2 linked regions of the Caenorhabditis elegans genome follow. The protein of the gene in region 2 interacts with the protein of the main gene of each other region in a pairwise test. Each region holds a gene or a part of one and is shown on either strand. Other genes may lie near its edges.

What was found. Proteins that work in one complex are often made in the same cells at the same time.
Region 1: the proteins of eps-8 (region 2) and lin-2 interact in a two-hybrid assay, tested with the Caenorhabditis elegans proteins (4 studies listed by BioGRID).

Annotation. Positions count from the first base shown.
Region 1 is NC_003284.9:12,412,442-12,417,810, forward strand, and holds the start of lin-2 (Protein lin-2), read right to left. Parts: upstream 1,601-5,369; 5' UTR 1,585-1,600; coding exon 1,511-1,584; intron 1,460-1,510; coding exon 1,347-1,459; intron 545-1,346; coding exon 361-544; intron 1-360. UniProt on the Caenorhabditis elegans protein: May play a structural role in the induction of the vulva. May be required for the localization of signal transduction molecules (such as let-23 receptor) to either the basal membrane domain or the cell junctions.
Region 2 is NC_003282.8:14,873,899-14,884,712, forward strand, and holds the start of eps-8 (SH3 domain-containing protein), read left to right. Parts: upstream 1-5,664; coding exon 5,665-5,717; intron 5,718-5,771; exon of another isoform or gene 5,772-5,792; intron 5,793-5,930; exon of another isoform or gene 5,931-5,951; intron 5,952-6,143; exon of another isoform or gene 6,144-6,165; intron 6,166-6,363; exon of another isoform or gene 6,364-6,384; intron 6,385-6,468; exon of another isoform or gene 6,469-6,489; intron 6,490-6,708; exon of another isoform or gene 6,709-6,729; intron 6,730-6,858; exon of another isoform or gene 6,859-6,879; intron 6,880-6,953; exon of another isoform or gene 6,954-6,977; intron 6,978-7,030; exon of another isoform or gene 7,031-7,051; intron 7,052-7,183; exon of another isoform or gene 7,184-7,206; intron 7,207-7,438; exon of another isoform or gene 7,439-7,459; intron 7,460-7,661; exon of another isoform or gene 7,662-7,685; intron 7,686-7,751; exon of another isoform or gene 7,752-7,772; intron 7,773-7,895; exon of another isoform or gene 7,896-7,916; intron 7,917-8,941; exon of another isoform or gene 8,942-8,962; intron 8,963-9,106; exon of another isoform or gene 9,107-9,128; intron 9,129-9,476; exon of another isoform or gene 9,477-9,497; intron 9,498-9,693; exon of another isoform or gene 9,694-9,714; intron 9,715-9,840; exon of another isoform or gene 9,841-9,861; and 11 more.

The DNA of each region.
Region 1 (5,369 bases), on a different chromosome or scaffold from region 2:
TAATCTGGTGAAATTTCAGAAAATTTGTGGATCTAGTTTTTGAAAAAAGTTCAAAAATGTGCCATTTTTGTCGAATTTTCCTAATAATTGCCTAATAAATCGAATTTCCACTTTTATTTAGGAAAATAATCGTTGTTATATGTGATTTATCCATTTTAAAAACAATTTTGTATATATTTTTGCAGTTTTATCCATTATAATGTCTCATTCATCGAATTTCAATGATATTAAAAATTTAAATTCAAATTTCGCGCGCTTTGCAGCGGCCATGGCCTAGGATTCTCACTTTTCACTTTTCGCTAGGCCAGATGTCCCAATTTACACGCCGTGACACACAGTCTATATTGTAAAAATACAAACCTTACTACATATTCAGAAAATACGAATCCATTACTTGCTCTTTGAACTATTTCAAAACAAATATCATTTCCCTCCATGTTCTCAAAAATGATATGTCGATAATGAACGCTGTTGATAGTTTTTTCCAGTCGGCATATGTAAGGGTGCTGTAGATTTTGGCATATTCTAATTTCCTCGTCGATTTCTGAAAAAGAGATGGTTTGGAATGAAATAATTATATTTAGATCGGATTCGGTAAAATGATCAAAGTTCGAAATGACACATGATGGCTGATAGATTGATTGATGAATTGGGATTGGAGCTGCTGAGCTCATGAGATGAGAACTTTGAGGACATTTTGTGCGCTTCTGATTGGAAAACTGGTGGCGAGAATAATAATATCCGCTGCGGGGACTTTTTTTTTCTCAATTTTTAAAAGTGCACTCAGGTTGTTTTTTGAGAAATTTTTTATTCTTCAAAATCCACAATAAAGGTCAAAACATAACTTTAAAAAAAAAGTGTATTAACCACCTGAATTTGTTCAATTCGAAAAAAAACATCAAAAACTAATAATTCAGTCTTTTGTGAGACAGTGTGTTGAAACGATGACTTCCTGTTTTTAAAATGTTGAAACTTTTCTTTAACGGTCTCAATGGTATTTGGATGAAAACCAATGAAATTGGATATTTTTATTCTAATTAACTTTTTTTTAACTGCATTTGAGCCTCCTTTCGAAAGATATTAGTTCATCACTAGATCGATTAACATTACAAAAACCTATCAATTTTTGTAAAGACAAAAAACCAAAATTAAAAAAAGACTTTATCAAAATGGGAGAAAACTATTTTTGATACTTGTATAGTAGAGCAACTACAGCTACTACAAAAGTACACTGCTTCAACTTTTGAATTGAACAAATCATTTTAGTAGGTGCGTAGAATTTTTTTGGAATACGACTACTACATGTAGTCGTACCCCATGTAACAACTGTATAACAATAATTGTACCTTCAAATCCTAACCCGGTGTGCTGTCTGAACAAATTCAAATTGATTGATCTCAGTAAAAATTTTCGATTTGATGGTCCATGAAGTATTCGGTATACATTTGAAAATGGACCTCTGGAAATTCTTAGTTATTTCAAGAATTAACTGAATTTTCAAAAATCTTACTGTTCTATCACATCCCGGATCGACAGTTGTTCATCGAGGAGAAGGTTCGACTCGTCCGGGTCAAGCTCCCTCATTCTGTTTTAGCTGAAAAATGCTGATAAACGTGAATAAACAAATGATAAAGTTGAAGAAAAAAAAGAGATAACCAGAAAAAAACTCATAGGGACAGTGAATGATTATTAAATTGAAAAAGCATATCAGGCTCGCATGAATATTGAAATAGAGAGACTGGAGAGAAAATGGCAGTTTTTTGGGTCGGCGGCGGGGGGGGGGGGGGGGGCTCTACGCGTTTTCTTTCGGCCAATTTGATTTGATCGTTAGGAGGAGATATAATGTCAATAAATGATTGCAAGAGAGATTCATGTTTTATCAACCCCGCAACATTCTTTCGAGAACTAAAAAATTGAGGATTTGAGGTGGTACTTGTCTGATGGAAAATCTCATGTTGCGGTCTTATAAAAAGAGGTAAGCATTACGTCATTAATTTTAATGAACTTGAGTGCGTGGGGGACGGAAATCGTTAAACTTAGGATTTTTTCTTGTTTATAACATAATATTTTCTGCAAAATGCAAAATCAAACCATCCAATCTTAAATTATTGAAGCAGAACAACTATGTGAAAGAAAGTTTGATTGCGGCATGGCAGAGGAAATCAAGACAAATATGGACACTTTTCATCTTTTCCACCTCTAGTTTCCTATTGAAACGCGGCTGTATTTGTCATTTAGCAAACATTCCTGAATTTGCCGGAATAGTATCGTGTTTATTCAAAGTTGGCGGGTTAGCCAGATGTATTTGTAACAAAAACAGTAAACAGATTTGAAATCTTTTCAAAACACTAAACTTTAAGTTTGAGAGATGCTGAAAAAAAATTATTTGATATGAAAATCGTAATGTAATGTAATAGAAGCAATTACGTGCATGGGTTTTACTACGATCAATTACATAGAGAAACCTACATTTTGATTTTCCTACGTTCTCAAATGACTTGGGATCTAATTCTAATGCTCAAAACAATAACTCCTTTAAGGCTAACAAAGCCATTTTTTAAAGTTTTTTTTTTCAAACAATTTCGGTTTGCATCTTTTTCTGCATACTCTTTTTATTTCCGTTTCATACGTCTACTTAAAACTTTTTGAAAAATTCATTTCCATTTGGTGCAATAACTTCAACCAAAAAGTGTAACTATTCAAAAAATAATCGAGATTTATTTCAAGGAAATAACATTGAGCACAATAATTTCATAAAACTACCATTTTGTGCAGAGCTATACCAAAAACATGCTGAAAATATGTTTACTGTTAAGGTTACTACTAGTCTCAAATTTTTGACATATATATATATACTTTTATAATTTTTTTTTAGTTTGTCAGTTTATTTTAATCTGTATACACTAAACTCTTACACAATTTAAGTATTTCGCATTTTGTCACTACATATATTCCAGTTCACATTGAAGTTATTTGGAAGTTATTGCTTCTGAAATGCCCAATATATGTATACTCTGATTATACCATGGTTATTTTTTGTTTTTAATGGAACTTTTAAATTACTTATAAACTTTTATGTAATGGTTTTTACGTTTTTGTTTCAAAAACAATTTTAAATTGAAAAAAAAACTGAGTAGACAAAATTGAAACACCAACTATACATCCCAGTCTTAAACAACTATCAAAAACCGCGAAATATTAGCTTTGTGAAAAATTGGGATGCAAAAATGTTCAATTATTAGTCTCTCCATCGAATATTCAACAAATAAGGTGTTAGCAAAATAATGGGAAATAAGAAGAAAAAACAAATTTAATTAAAGAAGAAGACATAAATAACTACATAAAAAGGAAGGGATGAAGGAAAGATATTACATTTTTCTTTTTTTTTTCTTGGATTTGTAAGATATGACAAAATCTCAAAGCAGAAAGAAAAAACGAATAAATATGAAAAAAAAGAAAATATGAAGTTTTTTTTGACACCGGAAAAAAACTGGATGAAAGAGGCTCGACAAAGAGTAGAAAGTGGATGTTATCTCTCCCAGTCTCCAGAGATACACAGTTTTATGAGTGTCGGTTGGGTGAGTTTGCAAGATAAACACGATGAACACCTGTTTCTATGATGCACGGACGATGCAAAACAATTCATTGGATGATACAGCTCCGTCTTGATGGAGTCGATGGAAAGTGAGAGGAAGAAGAAAGAATTGTGGAAGAGCACCAATTTTTTGGCTTCCGGTAAGTTGTTGGCATTTTTTGTTACAATTTTAGGGGCTGATTTTTTTTGAAAATGAACTTTTTTGTTTTCTAGGTGAAAAGAGGAAAGTGAAAGATTACTTTCTCAAATCCGGCTTCATTTCTAATTCCTGGGATCTTACTTAAATGAATAAAACTAAATGAAACTAGAGTATTTGGAAATAAAGCCTTGAGGTAAAAAAGAGTATGCTCAGTTGAACTTTTTAAACTTTCCTTGGTGATTATTTCTTAAATTTATTTTTCAAAATTATTTATAGCTGTTTGAAAATTCGAAAAATTGCCTAATGTCATCAAAAATCCTCAACTATGGTTTTTTTTTCGTGTCACAACGAATTATTATTATTTGCATATTTTAGTTGGTGATTTTACTTTATTTTGTTAGATAAAATACATACAGCTGAAAAGTGACTAACATTGCAAAAATTGAAAAAAAAAGTTACTACTGGAACACTATTTGGAATTTTAATTTGTAGGAGGCTCTATTGGAAATTTTGTCAAAAAATACTTTTAGAAAACTAAACACGGAGAACAACTGGGAATCTTTTACTTTAATGTTAAATAATTCGTTTTTGGAAATTGCGTTTAAAAAGTATCATTTTTAATTTAAAAATTCAATTAAATATTGCCACTAGTGTAATTTTTTCAAAATTGTGTCATAAATACATTTAATTTTTTGCGCAAAATCGTCTTATCTTAGGCTTATCCGTTTTTTTTTTTTGAAAAATCAGATTTAGTAGATGTTATTTTAGCTTTCAAAGAGTTCTTCTTCTTCTTCGCTGAAACCTATATCGTTTTGAATGAAATAGTCTAGACATCAATTTTAATCAATTTTAACAAAATGGGACCATCTTAGTTTGAAGTAGAAAAACGCAAAAAACTAGTGGAAGAAGAAAAAAAAAAAAAGATGAAAGCGTGAGAATATTCAGAGAAAGGGGAAATCTCGGGAGAAGAAGCGACAAAACAGAGATAATAGGTCATGGAGTAGTAGTGAGAAGTGGGAATACTAGACGACGTAAACGAGCAAAAAGAGCAGTAATATTAGAAAGACAACAAACGCGGCGATACATAACATCCAAAATTATGCTCATGGATCTGTATGTGACACTTTTTTTCTCTGCCTCTGTCTTAGTCGCCTTCTTTTCTTTTTTTTTCTTCAAAAAAATTGACAACAAGAAAAGAGGAATACTCCTGCATACAGAGGGTTCATCATAGGGTGTGTTTTTCCTCCTTTTTGAGGTGCCGAAAAACATATCCACGCATATTGGTTCTGGTTGTTTAGTTTTCGAGAGGTGCGACTCCAACCCACTTGTGAAAAAAGAAGGAGAAAAAACTTTTTTTTGCTCCGTGTGCATGTCTAGGTTAGGTCATCCAACCTTTTCCTCTTCCGTTCTTTCAAGCGGGAAGCCTAAACAATTTTTATTTTCAAAAATTACTTTCCATTCCTTTTTGCTGTTAAAAAATCACATAATCATTTTATATTCATGGACTAATCAAATTTGAGTTTTATAGCAACTATCTTCTGATGGTAGAAATATAGTTGCAAAGTTTTTCGGATTGTTTGTAAAATCTCTGGAAAAGTAACGATTCATCTTAACTTTTTTTTTTTAAATATAAGA
Region 2 (10,814 bases):
ATTTCTATTTTTACACGTCAAGTTGGCGGTGAGTGATAGTATAGGTATTTATGACAGTGATAAGAACATTTTTGACTTGGGTGGGTGGAACTTAAGAATTTTATTTATTTTGATTCAGAGCTTGGGGTGTTAGTTCTTTTCTATGTCAAACATTTCTTTTTTTTAATGCTATAATTTACTGTTTCAAATATTTGCTTTAAATAAAAAATGTTGAAGAATTATGTTTTGGAAATGCTAGTAAAGAAATAAAAGTTAGCAGACCTATTAAGTGAAACAATGATTTTTAAAGTTCAAAAAAATTATTGATTTTTGAAATTTCGCTATTTTTATTTATTTCCCCAACAATGAACTTTTTCTTTATGTTTTCATTCACAATTTCTCAAAAATGTCGGACTTGTGAAAATTTGCCATGAGTGACATTGGGAATGATAATTTATTCGAATTTCTTAATCATTTATACGAAACAGTGAATACTTCTCAAAATTCTCATTTAAAAAGTTTACAGTTTCAGAAACGTATTTTCTGACTAGTATATAATAAATTCATGTTGATCTGTTTCAAATATTATGAATTCTAATCTATACTATTTGCGAATCAAAGGTTTTCTTCTCACTTGGCTTTACCTCAACACCATTAAAAAGCTGATATACTTAAATTTATTCAAGATTTATGTAGAACAGTAAATTTTTTTTCATCTAAACATTTTTTTAGTCAGCTGCAGAACATGCGAATTGAATTAATTTTCAACAAATTTTACTCAAAAAATTACTGTTTCAAAAACTTAATATTAAATATTATTGTAAACTCGATTTATTAAATTTTCCACAGCCTAACTATAAGACTTCTAATCTATGCTGTTTGCTAATCAAGTTCTCATGTCCACTTGACAGTTTGTTCACATTTGGCTCTTTTTTGCTCTTTTCGCTCCGGAAATTTCCGAAAATCCCCAAAATGTTGCATATTTCTAGTTCCCCACATAAAATGCTCCAAGTTCTCTGCGCACGCCCGCCCGTTCAAAAGATTCCAGTCGGCTTATCGATGCTCTCTCTCCGAGCACCTTGAACCGTCGTCGGCACATTGATTGTTGTATTTGCTCCGTGAGCACCTACCTCTCTCTCTCTATCTCGGAGCCAAAACAATCGAGGCTCTTTTGGAGAGAGAGAGAAAGCACACATACACATGATAATTCGACAAACACGCCCTTTTTCGCTCTGCTTCTCTGCGCTCTCTCGTCGTCTAGTCGAAACTGTGTGTATGTATGAGTATATGTACATTAAACATACAACGAGACAAACACACACAGTCGCTAGCAAGGAAAATAGCACTTCAATGACCAACATTTTGAAGTCGTAAATGTTATCATTAAGGTTTTATGTTGATTAGTTTCCATCTTCAAATTAGTACAGTAGCACATTTTGTTGATACGTGATACTGTCTGAGATCACTAGCTTCAGGTTGAGCCGTTCGTTGTTCCTCGTGGCGCAGTCGGTAATGCGATTGGCTTGTAATTTTGCATTTAGGGGTTCGATCCCGCATGGTGGCTAAGAATTATTATTTTAAAATTCATTGGCGTGAACATCTGGCAATATTATTTCCCAAATAATAGTTATAGTGAAACTAAAATCAAAAATCCTAAACTAAAATATTTTCTCACTATTTCTCAAATGCCTTACCTGAAACCGATTAAACCTTTTCAAGTTTTCAAATAAGTGTTACTTATGTACTTTGCCACGCCATCAATCCAAAAAAAGCCTATAAAAATGAGAGAAAGTACAGATTATGACAGATTAGTTGCGGTTGGGTCGAGAAAGAATTGGCAACAATGGACGGGTTGAGAAAAAAAAATGTTTTTGATCTGAAGTGTAAATATAACAATGTATCTCCTTAAGTTTTGTGGAAGAACAGGAGAAAAAAAACCGAATTTTTGATTTTTTTCCAGTTTGAAAATTTAACTTTTTTCGCGAATTTATTGACTATATTCAATGAAATTACTGTTTTCAAGGTAATTAAATAATCATTGTGAAACATTATTTCAAACGATGTCTTCATCTTAATGTAGTGAGACAACTGTTTCTATTCAAATTAACAACATGAAACAATATTTTGTGTTTTTTTTTCTGCAATAAGCATAACTCCTTCTTTTTACGCTCATTTCTCACCTTCACCAAAGTTCGACCCCATGGTTTTTTTTTCAAAAACTCTTTTAAAAAACTGAAAAAAAGCTATGTTCTCAATAATTTATATAATTAAATAATTAAATAATTTCATACCTTTTGAAACAGAAAATTTTTTTAAAAAAGTATATACCATACATATTTCCTCTATTAGTATTGCACCCGACTACTTAACTTTGAAACGTTATATCTAGGTTCATTTTAAAGATATCAATATTTTGTTAACTACGAAATGATAGAAAAAGAACTAGCAAATATTTTGTTAGTTGGCAATGTTTGAATAAAACAAACGATAACTGAGATATAATCTATCAAAGTTTAACAATGGGGATGCAATACTAATACGGTAGATAAAAAGTTGTCTTGATACATGTCGCAGAAAAATATGGGACTTTTCTATACCTAGATTTTTGGCGCAACTGGTGAAAACCCGCAAATGACTTCTACTTCTCTAGTATTACTCCGCGAATTCTATTAGGATTTTGCAAATATTTTGAAACAGTAAAAATTGTAACTAACTTTCCGATCTTTCTAGGAATTTCTTCACCAAATGTTCTCTTTCAAGTCCACATTTAGCGCACTCGGTAAGGGTCTTACCTACCACTCACAACACCAAAGTTCGACCCCACGGCCCTCGCAACTTCTTTCTCATGGGCGTGTCGATATGGGGGGTAAAATCCCGGTATTTTCTCCCGCAATTTGTATCTATCGAAATGTGTCCTTCCCACCCAATCATTTCTCTCTGTGTATCTTCCCTTCCAATGAATTATTTGACCTTCGTCATCGCCTCCTAGCGGGCGTCTTCTAATAGTATAGAAGGCGTGTGTTATAGGGAGATGGGGGTGGAGAGAAGAAGTTGACTACTACTGACTTACAAATTACCGCCTCCTCCTTCCCCGTTGCCTAATACGGGTGAGAGGAGGTCAACATGTGTGGTGGGAAATTGAACGGAATTCGGAAGGAATTGAAAGCGATTTGGGGAGGGAAAAGTTATTACTAATTGTTTTCCAGGTGTTCTAATTGTTTCGAATTGGCAAATTTACAATCACTAATTTTTGTAATTAAATAAATGAAAAATTACTGTTTCAAATTGTCTTTTAAAGCGGCTAACAGAACTGAAACGGTAATTTTTTTTGTTTTTTTTGGAAAAAAAATAGACTGTAGAAACAGCTGCTCAATTTTTGTAACGTCAGAGATGTGCTTTTTTTGAACTGGGAATGTACATTACTATGACTAATTACGTAATGTATTTTGAATTTCTTACTTTAAATGAATGTTCTATCAAATAAATTCATATCCGTTTCTCTCTCGCGGCAAACACAATAATTTTCTCGAAAAAAACATTGAATTAATTAAAAATATGAAACAGCAGAATTTTTCAAATTAGAAAAAAAAACTATCTTCGCACTATTCTCGCATCTGAAATATTGCTTCTAAATCACAACCAAACACATTAATTATTACTAGTGAAGCAGCTATTTTTTTCTGAAAATTATAAATTAAATTTAACATATATTTTCACTAAAACTACAAACTACAATTTGAGCACAGTAAAAAATTGCACAACTTTTGTAAAATCGAATTTGTAAAACGAATTAGTGTTTCTTTATACAGCAACTAATCCCACATATTTCAAAATAAGTAATGCAAGTGAAACAGTAAATTTAACAAAATTAACCTAATTTTCAAATGATTCTCAACCGAGCTTAAGTTCAATACCTATCCAAATCCCAACCAGTTTTTCATTCCAATTCCAATCCATCTACTTTCTCTCTCCACCTGTGTCTCTCACCTCTACCATACTATTTCTCCCACCTTTTCAATCGACAGTTTTTTTGCTGTTTCGGTTTCTACTGGATACACGCCTTTGGGGCGTGGAAATAGAAGAAGATGGATGGATTTTGGAGGAAAAGTTGAAGGAAAACTAGAGAATGCTGGGGCCCGGATACTTATTATTTCTTTGATTCGATTTTCTTTACTTTTTCCCCAGTTACAACAGATTTTGGAAAATTTCACGAAATTCAATTTTCTTTTGTTTCTTTGGATGTTTTTAAAAAGGGATTTTGTAGTTTGAAAACTTGAAAGCTTACAGAAAATTTTATGAAAATTTGCATTAAATTTTCTGCAGTTTCACACTCTTTATTTCAGCGTTATAGGGGTTTTTGCAACATTGCTTCAATTTCAATTTTTCCTATTGCTAAATATAGAAAAAAAAGCGGTGGCGAATTCTTTATGAAATTGTCTAAAATCCATCTTGTATACGTTTCAAAAAAAATTATGCTGTTTCAAAAATGTAACTTGTTAGCACAGAATATACGGTTTTCGTTCAGATTCGTTTTCAATCTCAATTTTCAAAATCTTCAGTTGAAGAAGTTATCTTTTTCTGTTTTTTCTTCGTAAATCTGAAAAATAATCACTGCTTCAAGTTATTTACGATTTTTAATTGATTTTGAAATCTAACTCAATTACTTTAATTAATTCTGTCATGTTAATACATCTACAAAAATAAATCTTACTCCTATATTTTTCATTCAATTTCAGATCTGATTGACTTGATTTTCAAGAGTATAGCTATTGCTAGAATTTTTAGTTGTTTTTAAATTTATCATTGATTTTCCGAGTATTGTTTTATTCACTAAAATTTCCAGATTCACAAAAGTTTTTAGTGAAAAATAAATCAGTGAATTGAAAATGTTTTAATTTAAAATTCAGATTTTTCTCTCAATTTCTCACTCTAGCCGCTTTAATGTTCTCTTCTCTCAATCTTTTTGTTAATTTTTTGAAACAAATTATCACTGTTTCAAGTTTTTTTAAAAATAATTAATCAATTTTCAATTTTAATTTTCACATAAATTGCTTTCGCTTTCATGATGTTATTTTCAAAACAATATTTTTCACTATTTTCATTTGTTATATAAAACATGGTAAAACTTCCCATTATACTCTCTTTTTGCTTTCTTAACTCTAGTTTCCAAATTAAAATTAAAAAATTGTTTCTAAACTTCAATTATATTTTCCTAAAACTTTCCACGAAAATTAAAATTCATTAGAATTTCTTACAGTTACGAAAAAGGAGCCAAACTTTGAGATTTGAATTCAAGTTTTCCACTTTATAATTAAAAATGAAAATTTCTTCCTTATTGTAACATATCATTTCGTTAATTTTTTAAACCAAAACTTTAAAATTTTCCTGTTTCACGTTGTTTATAAGAAACATTGATTTTTTAAAAACATTGCTCGGTGGATTTTCTGAGTCTTTTTCAAAAAATAAAACAAAACTTTTCTCATGTTTTTATTGGTTTTCAAAATGTCATATATTTTTTACTTTTCCAATTCCAACTACAATTTTTCGAAAACCCAATGCTTCAATTTTTCTTCCATAACTTTAAAGTTAAATTAAATTTGATTTTATTTCAGCCAGTCAAATGCCATTTGCTTAAAAAGCGAGGAAATTTATCATCAGTGAAGAAGTGTAAAACATCTATTAAAAATGATGCGTCGAGGTGGATCGATGGGTCCACCGAGCGGGGATCCATATCAGAGGTTAGTATATTGTTTTATGAAAATAATTTAAACACAAATACAAGGCAAATTTGATTACATATTGAGATAGTCAAATTTTACAATTGAAATAAAGTTTTTAAAGCTTTAAACTTGTTTTGTATTGAAAATCCAAGTATTTGATAATTACTCCCAAAATTGTGTCAATTTTCTAAAAATTGCTGACAATCTAAAAGGTGTGAGACGAATTAACTCAACAAACTAAGGAAAGCAGAACTAGAAAATATTTGAACTTTTTTTTGAAATAGAAGTTATGAAACGGTAATTTTTGCGAAATTTTTTAACCTAAAATTTAACTTCAACGTATTTGAAAATCCATTACTGCAAATAAATTTTGAGACTGAAATATTTCTCAAAAATTGACTATTTCGCAATAGATGTTAAATGAAATTTAATAAGTCACCAGAATTTCAAACAGGATGAAAATGAAAAAAAAACAGCTTCAAACATTTTTGTTGAAGTAATTTTTTTAAATCTAAATTGCTTCCAGCGACTTTTTAGAGCTGTTTTCTGTATGTTGATGGCTCGTAATACCCTAAAATTCATTTTTTTTCAAATAGAAAAAAAAATCGAAAATATCGCTGTTTCAAAGAAATGTTATATTTTCAAAGTTTTATCAATGAATTGTTCTGCTGACCTTTTTATTATGAGAAGATCAAATTAAATCATTTATCAAATTGAAGTCGATCCCCTATGAAAGTTCGACTAAACTGACTTCAAACCGCTTTTTAAACCGAAAATTGCAACATTCTTACTGAGTCAATAAAAATTAGAAAAATTAAATGAAGATGCTGAAACTGTAGAGTGTTTCAATTTTCGGTTTAAAAAGTGGGTTGAAGTCAGTTTAGTCGAACTTTCATAGGGGGTGGAATCCTTTAATCAGAAAATTTTAAACTGGATGAAAGAAGAAGTAAAAACAAACAAATAACTGCTTCAGATTCATGTTATTTAATTTCTGAATTTACTTTTCCGTTAAAGAATTTACTTTAAACTTTTTTTTTAGCAAATTAAAAATAATCTTTAAAAATCTAAATCTTGAAAAAGGAAAAAAAAAATGTGAATATCAAAATTTTGACCGTTTCACATTGTTTTTTTTTAATATTGACATTTTCTGGTAGCATAATATCAACAGAAGAATATTACTTGTTAATAAAAAAATATTAAGAAAATTAACTATTTCGCTTTCCTTATAAATATTCGTTATCAGATTTTATAAATTAGTAAGCTCTCGGAATTTTCTTAAATTTTCAGTTTTAAAGTCAAAACGACTTCCTTAATGTTCTAGAATAACTCAATCAATTAATTAACCAATTAATCCGTTGAAATGTCCCAGTTCGACAGGATTTATTGAATTTTCGAAATGAAGTTGATTAATTAGTTTTCAAGATGAATATCTTATTTCTCTGTTTCACCACCACACCTCTTTGGGTGTGGTTTTGGAAACTTATTTGGAATGTGAACGATTTTCCTAATGCCAATGAACTTTTTGCATTTTTTAAATTAGTTTTTTGAAACAGTGATTTTTTGTGAAGTCGTTTAATTGTAAGTTTTCAATATTAAACACCTTAAAAGTTAATTTATTGCGAAACCCCCTATAATAATGATTAGAATATTTCAAAAGTTGATTTTGAATTACTCTGATAATGCGTTTGAAATAATTTTTTCTGTTGAAACTAATTTGTTTTTTATGGTTTCCCTGTCTTCTGCATTTTTTTGAAAGCACATCATTGATAAAATGTTTCTAAAGTTTTATATTAAACATTTGGAACCGTGAAAAATTTTAAAACAACTCCAATATAGCTAACTTTTTTACATGTGCTTGTTTTTTGGAACAGTTTATTTTTTGTGCAAATTTTTAAGTATAATATTTTCAACATTTTACCATGTTTCAATGTAGTATTAAATTTTACCTCCACCATAAAAAATTATTGATTTCAATCTTATTGGTACATAACTCAAATGTTGAAAAAAAAATTTGTTGCACAATTGGAACTGTTTCAGAATTTCCCTACTTTCAAGAACAATTTTTTTTGGATATCGCAGTGTCCAAGTTTTCGAAAATTTTAGTCAGAAACCTGAAACTGTATCAATTTAAGCAATTAAAGTAAATTTAAAAACAATTATTGTATTCTTAAAAACCTGAAAATTGAATTGTTTAAAAGTGTAATTCACTGGAATTCATCAATATTCAAACTTTTCACATATTATGTAGCAAAGTGAAAACAGTAGAATTTTTAAAAAATTTAGAAAAGTCCTATACATTTTCAAGTTGCGATCAAAAATGGAACAAAAAGAAGCTGTTAAGTTTTGCTTATTCAGTCAAACTGTTACTATAAAATATAAAATTCAAAAGTTCAAGAAAATCATTTAGATATGTAACCAAATAATATTCGACTAATTTCTAATGAAAATACCTACCTAAAATCTAAAATCGTAATCACGGTTTCACAGAATATTATTTGGTTACATATCTAAATGATTTTCTTGAACTTTTGAATTTTATGTTTTATAGTAACAGTTTGACTGAATAAGCAAAACTTAACAGCTTCTTTTTGTTCCATTTTTGATCGCAACTTGAAAATGTATAGGACTTTTCTAAATTTTTTAAAAATCTTTGTGAAAAATGCGACTCTCTCTTAAAAAATTCTCTGTTTTTGTATCAGGGGTGTGCGGCAAATTTGCCGATTTGCCGAAAATTGCCGACTTGCCGAGCTCGGCAAATTTGCCGATTTGCCAAATTCGGCAAATTTAAAAAAACCAGCAATTGCCGATTTGTCGAGCACGGCAAATTTCAAAAAAGTAGATTTGCCGAATTTGCCGAGCTCGGCAAATTTCGAAATTTGCCGCACACGTCAAAAATTTTACAGTACAATTTTGACTAAAATTATTGATTTTTTCGCCAAAAATTTAGTAAAATGACACAAAATTGAGTTAGTTTTATGCTTAAGCAGACATACTACACGGAACTAATTCAGAAACCAGATGTGTGTTAAGAATTCGGTAGTTTTGGTGTTCCAAAAAACATCAAAAATTATCAAAATTTTCCGAGTTTGTTAAGCACGGCAAATTTGCCGAATTTGCCGAATTTGCCGTGCTCGGCAAATATTGAAAAACCAGCAATTGCCGATTTGCCGAGCTCGGCAAATTTTGAAAAACCAGCAATTGCCGATTTGCCGAGCTCGGCAATTTTTTCCATTTGCCGCACACCCCTGTTTTGCATGTCTTCATCGACTGCGGATCGTTACAAACATTAAAACAATGTAGTGAAATTGTATACCATTAAATTTCAAATGAAAGTTAATTTTGGAAATTTTCTGAAAATTTCACTGTTTCGACAAAAGAATATAACAGTTTTCTTTTTGCGACTCCAATTCCGTAATGTTGTATTTTCCATGCATAAATTTTTAAATTAAAAAATACTGATTTGTATTTTTTGTAATAATATACTTTCAATCATAACCTTTGTAAAATTTGTCAGAAAACCCAAAAAAAATTGATAAATACATACCATTTTACGTTTTTCTTACTTTGACAATGGTTTGAAAAAATTAAAATTCACCAGTTGCTTAATGAAACATCTATATATTTTTCTCTCTTTTTAAAGAAAAAATCGCTTAAAATTAGACAAAAAACATTGAATCACTATAATGAAATTGTTTAGAAAAAGTTAATTGTGGAAATTTGAAAATTTTTCACTGTTTCAACAAGTAATTTTAAGATTTTCCTTTTTGACCTCTTCAGTTCGTTGAAAGCTGAACACTTACATTTATTTAAAAAAAGTTAATTTCCAGGAAAAAATGTACATGTACAATTTTTTGAAGCACCTGAAATCAAACCAAAAAATTAATGTAGTGAAATTGTATAGATGTAACTTTGTGTAATGTTAATTTTGGAAGTTTTTAAAAATTTTCACTGTTTCAACGAATAATTTTTGAAAATCTCCTTCTGATTCGTTCAATACCGACGCTCTTCTTTTGAAATTAAACCAAAAAAATTAAAACACTATAATGAAATTGCATATAATCGTGTTTATAAATTATGGAAATTAAAAAAAAAATTCACTGTTTCAACAAATAATTTTACGATTTTTTGTTTTGACCCCCTCAAAAAATGAAATAAGTGTGGTGAAACTGTAATTTTTAATTTCAATTTTCACTGTTTCACCGGATAATTTCAAATTTATTTCCTTTTGAGCTCTTCAATTCCCAACACCGTCCCCCTTTTTATACAAAGCTTCGTACATACACATATAAATATGATTTCTCCGTCCGTCCAACTGATAAATGCCAAAATGTTACGTGCATCCCTGCTCGGCGCCAATTCCTGTCTGCGTCTCTCGCATTCTCCACGCTCTCTCGACGATTTGATGTTTAAGGAGAGTAGGTGTTGAGTGAGGGAGAATGAGAGAGGTACTGATAACGAAGACAGAGGAAAAAGGAGCTATTGTATGGAAAATGACAACATTCCGCATTGGCAGCTTTTATAACTTTTCCCCCTTCGTTTCCCGCCGATTGATTGTTGTACAGAATCTATAAAAATTTAGATTTTATGCTCTTTTTCTGCTATGGAGTCTGGAATGTGTGTGTGTGTTTTGAACTGAAATGTCTGGAATTTCAATTTCTGATCACTGAGTTTATAGGAAAAAAAAGTCACGGTTTCAAGAATCTGATATACATTTTAGCGAAACTGATTTGAATCACTTAAGAGATTGAAAAATATAATTAAAAAAACTACTGTTTCAAATGCGTTATGTTATAATTTTCAAACACAAAATTCGGTTCTGAAGACATTTTGATTGGATTTTGAAAAATATGATTCGAAAAAAGTTACTGTTTCAAAACGTTTTAGATTTTGAAAACTTTCTGGTTGCCAATATTGTCTTTTTTTCGCACGAAATTTCAAAAAAAAAACATTTCAGAATATCATTGAAGGCTGAAAAAAAATATTACTGTTTCATGTTGAGATCATAGAAAATGAATAAATTCCTATTCGTTTACTATGTATTTCCTTTAAAAAAAATCTACTACGGGAATTACAAATAAAAATTAAATGTCACAACTTATATTTCCAGTAAAACGT